Oryzias latipes: one gene and its partner. The main gene of each other region encodes a partner of the protein of the gene in region 2 in a complex. Links are inferred from orthologs where the notes say so. Each region holds a gene or a part of one and is shown on either strand. Other genes may lie near its edges.

The links.
Region 1: the proteins of rbsn (region 2) and rab4a are in contact, whole or in part, in a crystal structure (PDB 1Z0K), measured with the Homo sapiens proteins. The link is inferred for Oryzias latipes from reciprocal best matches to the Homo sapiens genes RBSN and RAB4A. Residues at the interface, in NP_001289307.1 of Homo sapiens: Glu441, Gly442, Trp443, Leu444, Pro445, Ser447, Glu454, Pro458, Leu459, Gln461, Gln462, Asn465, Ile466, Phe469, Asp480, Glu481, Thr484, Leu485, Asn488, Leu492, Glu495, Gln499; in NP_004569.2 of Homo sapiens: Tyr10, Leu30, His31, Ile34, Glu35, Ile46, Gly47, Val48, Glu49, Phe50, Gly51, Ser52, Lys53, Lys63, Gln65, Trp67, Arg74, Phe75, Ser77, Val78, Ser81, Tyr82.

What each region holds. Positions count from the first base shown.
Region 1 is NC_019861.2:24,495,501-24,504,244, reverse strand, and holds rab4a (ras-related protein Rab-4A), read right to left. Parts: upstream 5,219-8,744; 5' UTR 5,085-5,218; coding exon 5,069-5,084; intron 4,458-5,068; coding exon 4,377-4,457; intron 3,529-4,376; coding exon 3,414-3,528; intron 3,227-3,413; coding exon 3,164-3,226; intron 3,085-3,163; coding exon 2,930-3,084; intron 2,764-2,929; coding exon 2,668-2,763; intron 2,452-2,667; coding exon 2,336-2,451; 3' UTR 2,307-2,335; intron 1,775-2,306; 3' UTR 1,762-1,774; downstream 1-1,761. Other genes in the region: phf10 (PHD finger protein 10), read left to right, coding at 5,589-5,663, 7,021-7,130, 7,239-7,369, 7,489-7,572, 7,668-7,792, 7,884-8,033, 8,135-8,244, 8,340-8,487 and 1 more. UniProt on the Homo sapiens protein: The small GTPases Rab are key regulators of intracellular membrane trafficking, from the formation of transport vesicles to their fusion with membranes.
Region 2 is NC_019865.2:17,018,877-17,026,329, forward strand, and holds the end of rbsn (rabenosyn-5), read right to left. Parts: intron 6,971-7,453; 5' UTR 6,861-6,970; coding exon 6,698-6,860; intron 6,464-6,697; coding exon 6,329-6,463; intron 6,247-6,328; coding exon 6,146-6,246; intron 6,075-6,145; coding exon 6,029-6,074; intron 5,942-6,028; coding exon 5,780-5,941; intron 5,689-5,779; coding exon 5,426-5,688; intron 5,323-5,425; coding exon 5,252-5,322; intron 3,785-5,251; coding exon 3,698-3,784; intron 3,606-3,697; coding exon 3,503-3,605; intron 3,353-3,502; coding exon 3,248-3,352; intron 3,163-3,247; coding exon 2,065-3,162; 3' UTR 552-2,064; downstream 1-551. UniProt on the Homo sapiens protein: Rab4/Rab5 effector protein acting in early endocytic membrane fusion and membrane trafficking of recycling endosomes. Required for endosome fusion either homotypically or with clathrin coated vesicles.

The DNA of each region.
Region 1 (8,744 bases), on a different chromosome or scaffold from region 2:
ACTCCTTCAGTTTGAGCCTGAAAACAAGAGGAACAGAAGTGAAATGGTTAAACTAAAAAAAAGTTTGTTTTTAAGGAAAAAAGCTCAAAAATCTGTTTAAAAAAAAAGGTTTGTTGCAAAAGTACCTTCATTCTTCCAGCACATATTTACATGTTGTAGATACATTTTCAGTGTCTTCTAGTGTTGTGCAATATTTCACAGTAACTACATATCAGTGTCTTTTTAATATTTGATGAACTTTTAAAATGAGTAAAAAAGGAAAACAATTGTGCAAACAGACCAAAATAAAAACGAAGCACCTATAAATATTATTTTTTTCCACATCGACATGTTTTTTTTGTGCTTGTACAACAAGAAACACTTTAGTAATTCTGTTTCTTAAATAGTGGAACAGAATGCATTTCATCATTGCAGATGACTTCCTGTCAGCTTGGTCAACGGCAATACAATAAAAAACAAAAAAGAAGTGCATTTGTGTTGGTTTTTATTTCAAAAACATAGCTTTTCGTCATACACAATAAATTAAAAATATATGATATTTATAATGAAAGGAGAAAACACACACACAGATCATTAGAAATGAGGCTTCATGACACAAACACAAGACGACAACCTCACGTGACACAAACTATGCTGCTCTCAGATACACCTCTGGAGGCATTTCGCATTGAAAAATGTCTGTTTCCTTTGAAATGTCTGCACCTGCAACAGTTTAGTGTACGAGTTGTAAAGTGATATAATCTCCAAAGTAAAATTCTTTGTTTTTGACCAGATTTGACAAAACAAAACGCACAACTGATAAATCTCATGATACAACTCTTAGTCTCTCTACAGCTGACAGCATTCTGTCCCCTCATGGACTCTATTTTTTTTCTTTTTTTCTGATAAAGCAATGCGTTACTGCCAAATTCATGAAAATACAAAGTTCTAGCACAGCTTTCCTGTGAGGCACAGCTCCACATTTTAATGAGCAGAGCTGAAAACCTATTTAATTGACACCTTAATATCTCTTTATATAATGAAACACTCTGATAATTTGCTTGAAAAGCATGCATCGGTCACAGCAGCACTGTACAACATTCTGCAGGGAGAAGAGGAAGTGGATGAGGACTATAAACAAATTAGGGTTAGCTTAGCTGATGAAATGTGCTTCCATAGCTGCACAGTGTGGAGTGAGAAGCTTCACTTGGGTAAAGAAGAGCAGGTGCGCGATAAACAAGGAGTGCTATTAGTTGGGAAAAAAATGGAATTTTAGTAATTTGGGTGATTTATTTCATGCTTAAAAATAGGGAGATTATCTTTTATTTAATGAACTTTGCACCAAACCATAGCAAGTGCTAGTAGTGTCAAAAGTATGTGTTTGAAAACTGTCAACTTTTTATTTTAATTGAACTACCTTGAATTGAACTACCTTTACTTTAAATATGATTGACAGGAACCGTCTTTATGAATAGATAGAGGAAAGTCTAACAGGCTTGGAGAGCAGGTGACAAGCAGGGAGCTACGTCTGAGGAGAAACCTTCTCGCCACAGAGCCAGAGAGATTTTGGTCCAGCTTTAAATTATGTTTCTGTTTTTGAAGATGAGTGTGGTCTTCTGGGTTCCTTAGCTGGGGGCGGGGTCTTCACAGCTCTCCGCACATGCAAAAATGACAACAGATGCTCTGAAGGGTCCGTGCAAAAGTTGGAGGAAGGTGGAGTAACCGGCACGGCAAGCCCCCCGCATCTGCATTCGTGGAGGTTCTATGTGGCTGCTCTTCTTCTGGTCTTCACAAACTTGTTTCCAAAAACAAAACAAAATCAAACGTGGAGAAAAAGACACACAAACATACTATAGTAAATAGCATTGCAGGAAGAATTACACTGAGGTGCATCAACACTTTTTGCAAAGTTGATATTCAACATAACCTACAACTATTGTTTCAGAAAAACAAACTGCAGACTAACTGTAACTGGTTGCCTAAATCCAAGTTCATGTCAATAAATGGTCCGATCCATTTTTTTTCTCTGAATACAGCTCTGTACTGATCCAGTAGATAACAGCTGTCAATGAAAACATAGTGCAGATTTTAATACTGTTTTAGGATTTGATATACATAGTAAGATAAATGTCATCAGTCCTGGTTTTCTTGCATAAATTTCATCCTAATATTTATCTATTTTCTCTGACTGTGTAATTCTGTGCTATACTGAGCACAACTGTCATAACCACAGGAGGCGATCGGCTCCCTTTCCGTACCTGAAAATTAACTCCAAAAAAAATGTCAGAGGTCCGAGACACTCTGGGATCCCACAGCAACACGTTTACCTTCAAAGGGCTATGTAACAGGACGTCCACTAGCAGCCACATTCCTGGGTGCCCTGCGGCTGAGCACGGCGAGGAGAACGAAGCTGGCGTAACGCAGCGTCCCCATATTGGATTCCTGACCCCATCCTCTCTGGATCTAGCTCTCCTAAGAGTAGAGAAATGGTGCTGATTAATAGAGATAAAGAGAAAACAACCTACAGAGGTTTCATCCCCACTACAGACTTTTGGACCAGCTGGTCCAACACTCCAGACTAGCTCACTGAAGCCCTGAGCTCCACCTGAGCTTGGACTATCCCATTAGGATAAGAAGGGATTTGGAAATTGTGTTTAACAAATGTGGGCAAAGATTAGAACTCCTCACCTGACTCTATTTTATTCAGGATTTTCCGGGCACACTGGACAAAGGCTTCTTCAACATTCTCTCCTGTGAGAGCGCTGGTCTCCAGGAACATTAACTCTGCCACAAACACAGAGTAAGGATGAGAGCAGCCGCTATGAAAACCGCTGATGATTATTCCACACTAATGGCCAGTCAGTGCTAAACAGTAAACCATTGAGTAATTACGTATAATGAAAGTTAACTGTATAGTTTTTAGCTAAGGATTATAAACTTAAGATCGAACCATTTTCCTGAGCGAAGCGTGACGCCTCCAGAAACGTGACCTCTCTGTCAGCATCTAGATCCTTTTTGTTCCCACACAGGATAATTACAATGTTTTGACTGGCCAGCATCCTAGCATCACTTAACCACGTGGTTAAGGCGTTGTAGGTTTCTCGACTGAAGCCACAAAAACAACAAAACAAATGGTTAAGCAGTCAAAGTATACATAATAAAAGAATAACGCACCTCGTCTTACCTGGTGATATCATAGACCAGCAAAGCTCCTGCTGCTCCTCTGTAGTAGCTCCTGGTGACGGACCTGACAAACATATACTGGTTAAAGGGAACATTGTTGACACTTAAGCAAATGCATACCAAATCCATTTAGTAATTATTGCCAATTTAAGACAGAAATGGAAAAAAAAAAGTTGTAGCTGTGCACCGCCGACATCTCTAAAAACGCAACATCCACAATGTAGAAGGAATTTTTAAAGATGTTTAGCTACCTGAAACGTTCTTGACCTGCAGTGTCCCAAATCTGAAGTTTGACCATTTTGTTCACCACACTAATAATCTTGGAGCCAAACTCCACTCCAATTGTGTGGTTGGACTCATCTTTGACTGGAAAATCATAAATATCACATGTAAGTCATATATTTTCAACACCTTAAAATGACCTACTGTTTACAAAAATAAAATGCCCTTTTTTAATCTGATAAAGATTGTGACTGCTTTGCTAAAATCTGTTTAAAAAATAAGAGTCAAACTAAAAATATTCATCAAGATTTGCTTAAAGTCCCACTCCGATCATCTTTTGAACTATTGTAAAAGCGTTTTCAGTAGTTTTTAAATAATGTTTATGCTGTTTTAGCCAAAATTGAAAAAAGCAAACAAACTCTTGTTGTGTTGGACATAGTATCTGCAGAGCGGCAGTAGGTTATTAAAAAATGAATCTTTGAGTTGTGGACGGGACTGGGACCTTTCCCATCTTCCTTTTGTTTACACTCCTCTAGCTTACAGCCCCTCACACCCCCTCAACATTAGTGGTGCAACAAAAATGGCGAGCAATATTAGAGCTATTCAGCTGTACAGTTTTAAGCTAGATGTTAGCTCACACGAGGAAAATGAAGACGTTCATGGATCTATTTGTTTACAAGTGGATGCATCGGATTGAAGCGGAGCAGGGAGCTTGTAGCTCGCCATAGTAGCTTCTATGTCACATCTACAAGCAACTGGTCCTGAATCACAGTGATTTGAATAAAGAAATACTCAGAGATGCAATTTTAGGCTTAATTTTTACATAAATGTCCATTATAATGAGAACAAAATGTCACAAAAATATGTTAAAAACACACAAATAACGACTGTCTTTGAGTGGGACCTTAAAGATATTTAAATAAAAGAGTCGGGCAATTACTGTGTCATTATTATAAAGCTTTTTCTAGTGATTACAACTGAAGCAAACTTACATCTCTTTTCTATGAACTGGTGCAGAAGGCAGGATTTGCCTGTTCCAGCATTTCCAATCACTAGGAATTTAAACAGAAAGTCTGCAGAGGGAACACAGTAGTAACATAGATAAAGCAAACAGGGTTTGAATATGCTGCCTTGTTATTAATAAACTCAACTATTCTTAATTTTTTTTTGATACAGTTGTTGACATGTACACATCTGATGTCTACACTATACAAATCAAGACAAATGTGTCGTAAACAGATCGAACAAAGCCTTATATATATATATTTATTCTTTACTCCCACTAAGATAATTATCATGTTTAATGTTGGTTCAATTGATTGAACAGTTGTAGCATAGTGTAATTTGAGCAATGCCTCACAAAACACAGAGATATCCTATCATCACTTGCGTTTGCAAAAGAAAAGCGGGAGTCTCTTGCTTTGTGTCCTAGTGCTTATCCCGGGAACAATAGCATCTCCTATAGTCACAGCTTCTTGCATTATAAAGCTTTACTAATACACCTGTACCCGGAAGGCAGATTTATTAACGCTGACATTTGAGTTTAAAGGCCAAAACCTTCCTACTCCTCAGTGGCTCGGTTAGCCTGCCAGCTAGCTATTTGTTTACGAAGGGACCTCATCATCCCTTTCCTGCCATCTGTGTGTGAGATTCTAACGGGTATAAAGCAAGACAGCCTCCTTACCGTAAGACTCCGACATCCTCGGTGTGTCAGCTAAGCTGCAAGGCAGAGAAAGGCGAAACTGTTATTTGTTTAGCTTGCTAAGTGATGGAAATAGTCCTGTTGGTGATTTCCTTGGATTCTATGATTTCCTCCTCCAACTTCCTGTACGGTGTGTGTGGGTTTTTTTTCTTCAAAATAAAAGCATTCTGAAATGACACTTATGCCACATAGTCCTCAAACTACCGCGTGGGGGTGATGTTTGGATATGTTCTTATGGTTTCAATTAATGAAAAATAAATTCTCGCCGTTCTAAGTAAATTTTAAAAACAGCCCATTTCGCTGAGAGTTTTATCTATATGTAAATTAATTGGTTTGCATGTTGTGTACAAATTCTCTCTTTTTAACATATTTTTTGGAGGATCTAGGAGGTGGCGCTCTGAATTTACACAAACGTCAACCGAGTCCGTGGTTGTCCAAAGAAGAAGAAACGTAGTTTCCCCCGCTAATCATTAGCCTAGCTGTGGGCATTATTTATCTTAAAATGGCTACATTATTCCCTATTATTAGACCACCAAGTGATAGCAGTCCCGCTACTCCTGGGGCGCACTCCATGAAGGTGATTTTTTTCTACTTTGATAAATATCCATTAGCTGTTGTTTACGGGGAAACATGACGATGTTTTGCTAACAGATAGCTAGCTAGCCAACGGACGTTTCCATTCACTAGGACAACTGTCAGCCACTTTTAGCAAAATCATTTGTTTTCAAATGTGCTCAAATTACTTCCTCTTGAAGTAATTTGCTCCTATTATTCGTGTATTTCTCTATTAGTTTGCAACGTTGAAAAAATATATAAATAAAAAAAAACTAGATTGTGTAGCCATTTAAATATAAAGTGTTGCTAATTTTTTCCCTGTGTAATCCTAGTCAAACTAGTTTTGCACATGTTCCCATTTTCACAATAATACGGAGCCCCTAAAGGGCCATTGATGAAAAAAAAAAAAACTTGAGGAAATTTTTTTTTTTTGAAGTAAAAAAAAATTCTTTGAGCTAAAAATTTTTTTTTTGAAGTAAATAGGAAAAAAAACTAACTGGTGCGCACCAGTTAGTTTCAGGTGCGCACCAGTTAGTATCAGGTGCGCACCAGTTAGTTTCAGGTGCGCACCAGTTAGTATCAGAAGATATCAGATAGTTGACCTGCTTGCTCATTGTGCACCAAGTAGCTACAGTTGTCTTGAGAATGGCTAAAGTTGAGGATATGGACCTTATAAACTTTCTGAAAACACGAAATATTACTGACAATGTCATAATGTCACCTGAAACTAATTGGTGCGCAGCTGAAACTAACTGGTGGGCACCTGATACTAACTGGTGCGCACCTGAAACTAACTGGTGGGCACCTGATACTAACTGGTGCGCACCTGAAACTAACTGGTGCGCACCTGAAACTAACTGGTGCGCACCTGATACTAACTGGTGCGCACCTGATACTAACTGGTGCGCACCTGAAACTAACTGGTGCGCACCTGATACTAACTGGTGCGCACCTGATACTAACTGGTGCGCACCTGATACTAACTGGTGCGCACCTGATACTAACTGGTGCGCACCTGATACTAACTGGTGCGCACCTGATACTAACTGGTGCGCACCTGAAACTAACTGGTGCGCACCTGATACTAACTGGTGTGCACCTGAAACTAACTAACTGGTGCGCACCAGTTAGTTTCAGGTGGGCACCAGTTAGTTTTTTTTTTCCTATTTACTTCAAAAAAAATTTTTTTTACTCCAAAAGAATTTTTTTTACTCCAAGAGAATTTTTTTTTACTTCAAAAAAAAAATTTTTTCCTCCATTTTTTTTTTTTCATCAATGGCCCTTTAGGGGCTCCGTACAATAAGCTTTTCGATTCTATATATTTTGGTGTTCATCTGTTTGAAAAAAAATGTTGGTGAATCTTTTTTCCACTTCTGTAGGAAGATGTAATTGATGAGGTATCTAATGATGGGAGCCAGCCACCGAAAAGGAGGAGAATGGGTTCAGGGGACAGCTCTCGGAGCTGTGACACCTTCAGCCAAGAGCTTGGGTAGGCTACTTGTTTTTGCATTACAATTTGCCATTATTCTTAAGTAATTGCGTCAGATACCAACTTATAAATCTAATGTGTTGTTCCTGCCCCCACCTCCTCATCTAGGGTGACTTATTTCCCAGCAGAAAACCTAATAGAGTATAAATGGCCTCCTGATGATACAGGAGAATATTACATGCTGCAAGAACAAATCAGCGAGTATTTGGGTGTCACGTCATTCAAACGCAAATATCCTGGTAAGAATTGAACAATAATTCACAAAATGATCAGGAAAGGAAATGTTTAAGTGCGGTTGATTTAGCAACTGCCCAAATTATGTTTTGACCAGGGAATTTTTTTTAACATTCTTGTGCAGATATGGAGAGGAGAGACCTGTCTCACAAAGAAAAGCTCTACCTACGTGAGCAAAATGTTATCACTGAGACGCAGTGCACCCTGGGTACGAGCCAACCCTAAAACTCTTTGTTAATGCACAGACTTCATACATTTATTTATATTTCTTACATAATGTAGTGCTGTTGTATTTATATGCAGGATTGACAGCTTTGCGGAGCGATGAAGTGATCGACTTGATGATAAAGGAGTATCCAACCAAACACTCTGAGTACTCTGTGATATTGCAGGAAAAGGAGCGTCAGAGAATAGCTAAGGAGTACTCTGTAAGAACACCAGACTAGAACAACCTTTAGTTTTTATTAGAAATTGTCGAAACGCACGAACAAATAGTTGTACTCTCTTGTGCTTTTGCAGCAAATGCAGCAGCAGAACCCTCAGAAAGTGGAGGCAAGCAAGGTTCCTGAGTACATAAAGAAAGCTGCAAAAAAAGCTGCTGAGTTTAACAGCATCTTCAACAGGGAGCGAATGGAAGAGAGGAGAGCTTACTTTGACCTCCAGACTCACGTAAGTCTAATGGCAGATGGTTTAATAAATCTGCATCAGTGCAACGTTGGTTGAGCTTTTGACTGATGCAACTCCTTTTTGTCCTCTGCTTTTTGTCTCAGGTTATTCAGGTGCCCCAGGGAAGGTTCAAAGTTCTTGCTCCAGAACTAACCAGAACAGGACCCTACCCTGTTGCTCTTATCCCAGGTCAATTCCAAGATTACTATAAAAGGTACGTTCCATAACTGTTAGCTCTTCGTAAGTGACAGTAGTCTCTCAGTTAACGGTAAATAGATTTTAGATACACGATTGTGTTGTTTGTGCCAGGTACTCACCCAATGAGCTGCGCTACTTGCCATTAAACACTGCTCTGTTTGAGCCTCCTCTGGATCCAGAGCTTCCTGCTCTGGACTCTGAACCTGACTCGGACGATGCTGACGACGGCAAAGACGACAAGAAGAGCAAGAACTCTTCCGTAAGAGTGTATTCTGTGCACATGTATATATATATCTAAGTGCCAATAACTCTTTTCTGCTTTCTAAATAATATGTTTGGTGGAATTTTGAAATCAGGCAAGTTGATTTAAGTGTTAAAAGTTCTTAAAAAAATTTGAAAACTTATAATTTACTTCAGTTTTTGTGTAAAGAAAGATTACAGACCTCTTTAATTTTCTTTTATAAGCGTGTTTTTTTTTTTGTACCCCCCTCTCTGTTATTTAACAGGACAGCTCTT
Region 2 (7,453 bases):
AAATTCAATGGGACATCTGATATCAATTCAGGTGAACATTTTCCTGAACTCTTGGTTTACAAGATAAAGGTACACATAATGGTTCCTTTCACTCTAACAAAAAAAAGCTCTCATGTGTGAGTAGAAAGGTCAGGACTTAGGTGTCCAAGAAAAAAGCCTGATTCACCAAACTAAACCGAACCTACAGCTTAGTGAGCCAAAAGTGGAAGAAGTCCCAAAACTAAAAAACAGTTTCTGTTCTGGCTGCATTGGGGGGTGGAACCTCAGTTTTAACCCTTGTGCTATTTTAGATGACCCCACCCTTGCATTGACGTGTTATTCCTATCATGATAAAGGTGGAAAGATTTCATGTAATCCATGGACACCAGTGAAGATAACAAATCATTGAAGAAAAAAGGTTCAGCGCACTTTCTTGTGGGTCTAGATGACCCAACTCCCAATGTTAAAGTGCCTAGGATAGCACAAGGGTTTTTATGACTTCTAATCACCACATATTTTATAAAGTTATATAGAAAAAGACACAATAATGGAAGAAAAATTAGGCTCTTACATCATTGACAATATTGTTTTTATTAGTGCCAGGATGACAATTTCTAAAGATGAACATCAGATGGTTATTGTGCAGACAATCTTAAACGCAGAGATGCCATTTCCATAACTAAAATAAACTAACAAATACTGAAAAAGCTTGCTGAGAAACTCACTAAATCATATCAAATTCCACTTAATTTGCGTGTGGTAGATGCCTCGAAAGAGCAGAGCAGGAAGATGCTATCATGTCGGTTTCTTAACACCGGTGGACTGAACTGACATAAAAAAAAAATTTGAGTTCGGTTAGAGTGAGCAGCACTGATCCAAAATACTTGCTGGCATTCATGTAGTGTTAGTATTTATCAGCTGGAAAAAGGTTGAAGCTGTTCATCATTTGAACAGTTAGACTCAAATATGAATGGGTTCTTCTTGAATTGAGCATGTCAATGTTTACCCAGTAACTGAGCTGCTCTTTGAATGTATTCCATTAACCATTGAACAGATACATCACAAAAACATCAGAACTGACAACACACAGCCAGAATGACATTTTTTAACAGATGTGTTCAACCTGCACATTAAAAAAAACCAAGAGGACTACTTTAAGACACTTAAAAATGTGATGGCCATTTGCAGACCTGTGTGCTTGCACAAACACCAACAGTTTCTTGGCTCTCAGTGGAATCACATGCATTTTTATGCTTACAAACGAGACTTTAAATGATGGAAACAAATCCAAAATGAATCCATTTAAACCTTTTAGTCTCTTCATGTTAGCCATCAAGGTTTTTAAGTTTTTAAATTTAGTTGTATTTATCAAAAAAAAGAGAAAAGAAATTACACGTGACGCCAAAGTTACATTCATTGGAATTTCTCTTAGGGGGCGGGGCTGAGTGCTGAAGTCAAGTGTTTGAATCCACTTTGAACATGAACACCTACATTTTGATCAGAGCTTTATTCAAAAACAAAACTTTGTTCACATATTTATTACCTAGTTAGCAAATACTTTGTTCTAGTGATAATCACATTGTAGTGTAAATAGTTATGGAAGTTGCAGTTGGTTAACATTGTGGAAATTTTTTAGTACTTACTAAAACTTCAAAAGTGTTCATCTTTGATCCAAAAGTGTTTTCCAAAGTGCAATTAATCCTTCAACTGGAGGAAAGCTCTTATAAAAAAAAAAAAAACGCTTTGCTAAAGTTTCTATCGTTAAAGTTTTTTTTTTTTGTTGCAAAAGATTTAAATCAAACCTTAATAATTCTTGAAGAGAACACAGATTAAACTCAGACTGGCTTCTGGATTTGACCTTAATTCAGATGTTTGTGTTTTTAGCATGCCTGTACAAATGAGCGTTACCTTTCAGTGCTAAACCATGTGCACGCTGGAGCAGATTCCAGCTCAGGAAACCATTTGTACTCTAATGTAATTGAATTAAGAGAATTTCTCTGTGTATTTGATAAACCTAATCCAAAGTAACGTTAGTGGGTTAATGACTCATCTATAGTGACTTGGTTTGAAGCAGGTGTTTGAGAGTCAGTGCTTCTTTTTCTTCTGCTCCTGCAGGGTGCGCTGCAGCTCTCTCAAGTTTTCCGACAGGAGCTCGACTTCGTCCAGACGGCCGTTGAGCTTTGCGTCGAAGATGTAGGCCCTAATATTGTCGATCTGCTGCAGCAACAGCTCTTCTTCTATCATGTCCACGTCAGGCAAGTCGTCGTCGTCCTCCCCATCAAAAGGGTTGGTGGAGACGTCGGGCGAATTCCCAGGAGCCTCCATGAAAGGATTATTCCCATCTGCGTTGTCCTCCTCAAAAGGGTTCCCCAGAGCAGTGTCAGGCTGTTTCGCCTCCTCTGAATCTGCATCTTCTTCGAACGGGTTGTATTCGTTCTTACCATTTGTTACCCCACTGCGCTCCCTCTTGATGTCCTCAAAGAAGGGGTTAGAAGAGTCCTCCTCAGTGGGAGTAAGCTCCTCTTCTTCAAATGGGTTTAAAGGGCTGCTGCTTTTGGTTTCTCCACCAGGGGGAGTTATATGACCTCCCAGGCTCCTCAGTCTGGGTGGGGAGTCCTCTTGGGATGTTAGGGTTAGCAGCTCTGTGACAGCAAGGGCACTTGTTTCAGCTATAGGAGTTAAGATATCGTCTGCCGTGCCCTCGTCTTCCTTCCAGCCTCCCGCCTGGCTGATATCCAAAGAGGGCTCCCAGTTGATGGAGGGCTGGGTGGAGCTGACAGTGGAACCCCAATGCCTCCTATCTTCCATTTCCTGGGCCTCAAGGCGCTGGAGCTCCCCTTGCTGCAAGCTTTCCTCTTTTGCCAGCTTCTCTGAGAGCACGATGGCAATGCAGGTCTGCTGCTGGTCATATTCGTCTTGCAGCTGACGCAGGTTCTCCTCCAACATGGCTACCTCGTCGGCTTTCTGGGCCTCGCGTGCCTGACGAAGGAACGACTGAATGTTCTGGATCTGTTGCAGAAGGGGGTCTTCCAGCTCGCTCCGTGAATGGACGGACTCTGCGGAGGGCAACCAACCGCTGGCTTTGGTCATGCGTTGGGCTCTCCGGGCCTGAGGCAGCTCGCCATTAGCAGGAGAACAGATTTTTTCAGCCTCCTGCCTCCTCTTCAGAGCCTCCTGGGCAGCCTGTTCAGCACATGAGAGATTTTAAGGAGCTTCATTCAGCAGCAGGAAACATGCATAAAAATCAGGAGCTGTTACTGGATCTCACCAGTCTCTCTTGCTGGAGTCTCCGCTCCTGTTCTTGTTTCCTCTTTTTTTTCAGCTCTTCATATTTCTCCTTAGTGGGTAAAGACATCAGTCCCAACAGTTTCTCCTAAAAGAGGAAAAACAAAACAGCCAAATCAAGACTACAGGATGTTTATTCTGAAAATGTTGTTCTAAAGCAACTGGTTTTTGTAATATCCTAAAAGACTTTTTGGTCAAATGTTGTGTCTCACTAGGTTTAGCTCAAAGATGTAATCACCTGGACAAAGAGTGTAGCAGAGTAGCGGATCATCTTCTGCAGCTGTAGCGCCTTTGGGTGGGGTGGGGGTTCATCTTTAAGCCCAAGTGTTAAAATCTTCTTACTGACAATAAAAAGAGCTCAAATAAACACACACACAGAAAAAACAAACATTTGTGCTCCACAATGGAGGCATCCTTTCAGACTGACACATACCTCAGAGCATCGATTAATTCGTAGTATTTCTGCACCTCCAGTCTTAGTCCACCAGCAGTGTCCAGGTTGTACGTGGTTTCTCCGGCGCTTTAAAAGTTAAAAAGTCAGAATATGTGTTAAATGCAAAGTCACGTACCTGTACACAAATATGTCATTTTTTTTAACCCTTGTGCTATCCTAGGCACTTTAACATTGGGAGTTGGGTCATCTAGACCCACTAGACAGTGCTCTGAACCTTTTTTCTTCAATGATTTGTGATCTTCACTGGTGTCCATGGATTACATGAAATCTTTCCAACTTTGTCATGGTAGGGAGAACACGTCAATGTAAGGGTGGGGTCATCTAAGATAGCACAAGGGTTAAAAAATCCAAAACGTCTGAACAACAATGATTTTTGGTTGTGGTTTAGTTTGTTTAAAGCCCCACTCCTATAAAATGTGTGTTTTTACTGTGTTTTTGTATCATTTTGTCTTATGATGGAGAACATATATTAGTAAAATGAAGCTTAAAATAGCATTTGTGATTATTGTTTTATTCAAATTGTTGTGAATCTGTAGCAGACAAAAAAAAGGGCGTATTTGTGACAGAAAATATCCTGGGCGGGTTACAAGCTCCCTGCTCTGGTCCTTTCTGATGCACTTGTAGACGACTAGATCCGTGTACCTCTATGTTTTCCTCCTCTGAGCTGCCATCCGGCCCGAAACTGTACGGCTGGATGGCTTCAATATTGCTCGCCATTTTTGTTGTGGCTGTGATGGGTTCTAAGTTAGTGGGAGAGCGTGTAAATACAGAACTCTCAGTTATGGGTGATGGGTAGTGGGTGTGGGGTTGCTCCGTACCAACAGTCTTGCCCAAAACTCAGCGGTAAATTTCTAATGGACTAATTACTACCGCTCTGCAGAAATTAAGTCCTAGAAAACGACAGTTTTTTTTTATTTTGCCTAAATGGCAGAATCATAATTAAAAGACCACTGAATACGCTTTTAGCATAGATCAAGAGATGATGACAACATTGGGTGAGCTATGGTACTCTCCGGGGAAGCAGGTGTTTAAAAGAAACTTCTGCTTTTGGGAATCTGCAAACGGCAAATGCTGCGGAGGACTCTGACAGAGGCAAACAAAACTTTTCCATTCTCTGGGATGAAGATTTGCTATTGTGCTTCACTTCAGTTGACAATTGCATGACTTTGAAAATGTTATTTGCTGTCAGAGAGTTCACATTTGTGTGAACGTACAAGGGAATACAGAATTTAATGACTTCAAGGTTGCAGAGTTCTGCATTTATAATCTTTCCTTCACTGGTTTTGAGAGAGGGAGCTGGGATGCTAAAAACTCTAAGTAGTTATGAAGAGCAGAGACCTGGCAGAACTAGGCAACTTTGTCTGGGTTCATCATTTTAATGCACAATCCAAAATAGTTATTGCTGATCTTTATCTGAGGTTACACTCACTAATTACAAGTACCCAGTATGGTATTATGAATATTTCTACACTAGTTAGAAAAGAAAAAAAAAACTTGTACACAAAACTGTAGGAACTTTTGAATCCTGCTTACTTTAGAGATTCAGCCATTCGAATATAGTCAGGAGCTTTTTCATCCACCTTCACCATGCACATCATCAACCTCTGTCAGAAAAAAAGACTTTATTATAAGCAACTCCCACCCCATGACAAAAGATGAAAGAAAGATCAAAACACAATGGTTTTAACCCATAATAATCAAACTAACCTCATAAAGTTTCACTATGTCTGGAATGTTGTCCTTCTCGTCTAACTTTTGCTGTTTCTTCAGCAGCGTGTCCATACAGTGGTGACAGCAGCGGATCTTCTCGTCATCCTTTTCCTCCAGCATTGAGGTAACACTGCTCAAGCTGCTGATACTGCCTCTGCGCGAGCCCATACCACTGCTGCCACCTCCAGCAGGGAGAGTCTGGGTCTGGCCGGGACTTCCAGGGACACACAGAGCCTCCCGAGTCCCGTAAATGAGCTTCTCTGTAACAAGATGAAAGACATCTGGAAATGAGACACCTCTGATCCCACCTGAGTGCAGAAGTCTGTACTTCTGAGGCATTTTGATGCATACGGGCCAAAGGTAGGGGGACGAACTCCATGCATCTTCGGCACATGATGGAGCCACAGAGGCGACAGTGGTGCCGCCTGTTGCGGATGTTGAACTTGTTTCCGCAGTCGGGGCAGAACGGGACATCAGAGTCATTTACCCAAGACACCACGGACTTCTCGATCGCTACAGAGAAGAATAAAAACTCAGAACTCAAAAAGATTTCATTCTTAATGTTTAGACCAAAGAACCAATAAGCAAATAGTAACACACCTCTGATCTTAGCCGAGTCGGAGTTGACTCTGTCAAATGACGTCAACTGAAACATCAAATCGGAAAGTTAGATCAAATGTCCCAGCCATAAGGAGAATGATGCTTTTGAGGGCGTACCTTCTCCAGTCTAATGATGAGCTTGTTGACTTCAATGACATAGTGATCTATTCTGGCAGCACGATGTTTCTTAAAGATATCCAGGTGACTTCTTGTTGCTCCTATTAGAGTAAACAAAAACAATTCCAACAAATAAAAAACACGAAAAATACATGTGCTGCTCTGATATTAATACTTTCTTACCCAGTTCCTGAGGCTCCCACATATAAGGATCCACTCCACCATAGTAGAAAGACTCATAACTGCCCGTGTCGAGCCTGTCCTCTCCATCTCTCTTTAAAAGTTTATCTTTGGCTTTTTTTGCCTTCTGAACCAAACCTGAATCACACAGAAAGGTAACAAAATATTGTAAATTCACATAAGATATCTTTTTTTTTTTAAAGTATGACAATTGTTAAGGAAAGCTGGATTTTTTCAAATGTTAGATAGAAAGAAACACCAACTCCAAACAGCTACATTTAAGCTTATTAGCTGGATTGTCATATTGCAAAAAAGGGAATTTTATTACGTTTTTTCTTTTTTTCTGAAGCTGAATTCTGACTCGACCCTTACTTTTGAGCTGGCCTCGGACATGCCGGTCATCCCCTGAGTGCTCCTCCTCATAGTGGCCTTGGAGTTGGTAGAAAGACTGCAGGTCCTTCAGGCACAATGGGCAAAGGAAGCCCTCTTTTACTTCACCTGTGCCCTCGAAGGGGGGTGGGTAGCTGGAGGCCATGATGAGAGCTGGAAGCCTTGTTGTTTACCAGAAAGTGAAGGGCGGCATAATGAAGCTTCAACCCGCTGGTCACAATGTGTACAATGTTAGCCTCCTTAGCTTCATGATTCCTGAAAAATGTAAAGAGTGAACAGAAAGACAAAGCAGACTGAGGTTACACATAACTTCAGGCTTAATTGTGAAATCTCAGATATTTACAGTTAGGACTGAAAGTGGTTTTAGCTTAGTCAAAAAACAAAAATTAATGTAAAAAAGCGTTTAATTGCAATACTGTAAAAAGTCATTGTAATAACAAAGTCACCCTTATCCAACTGAAATGAGAGCTGCAATAGGAGGGCCACTGACTGCAAAAAAGATCCCAACTGATGACTATGAAAGGTTGAAGAGGTTTAAAGGCAGTGGCTCATATTAACTACCCTTGCACTAATCATTTGTGTACAATCATCAGGAGTGCACAACCGTCACAAAGCCCTCTTCTCTGTCGGTAACACAAAGCTACAAGCCTGGCCGCACTGCTCCTAGCATGTGTCTCTTAGCAGCCGGACACACGGAGAAAGCAGTGACGTCATCGCCCCGCCTCCCCTCTGGAAATG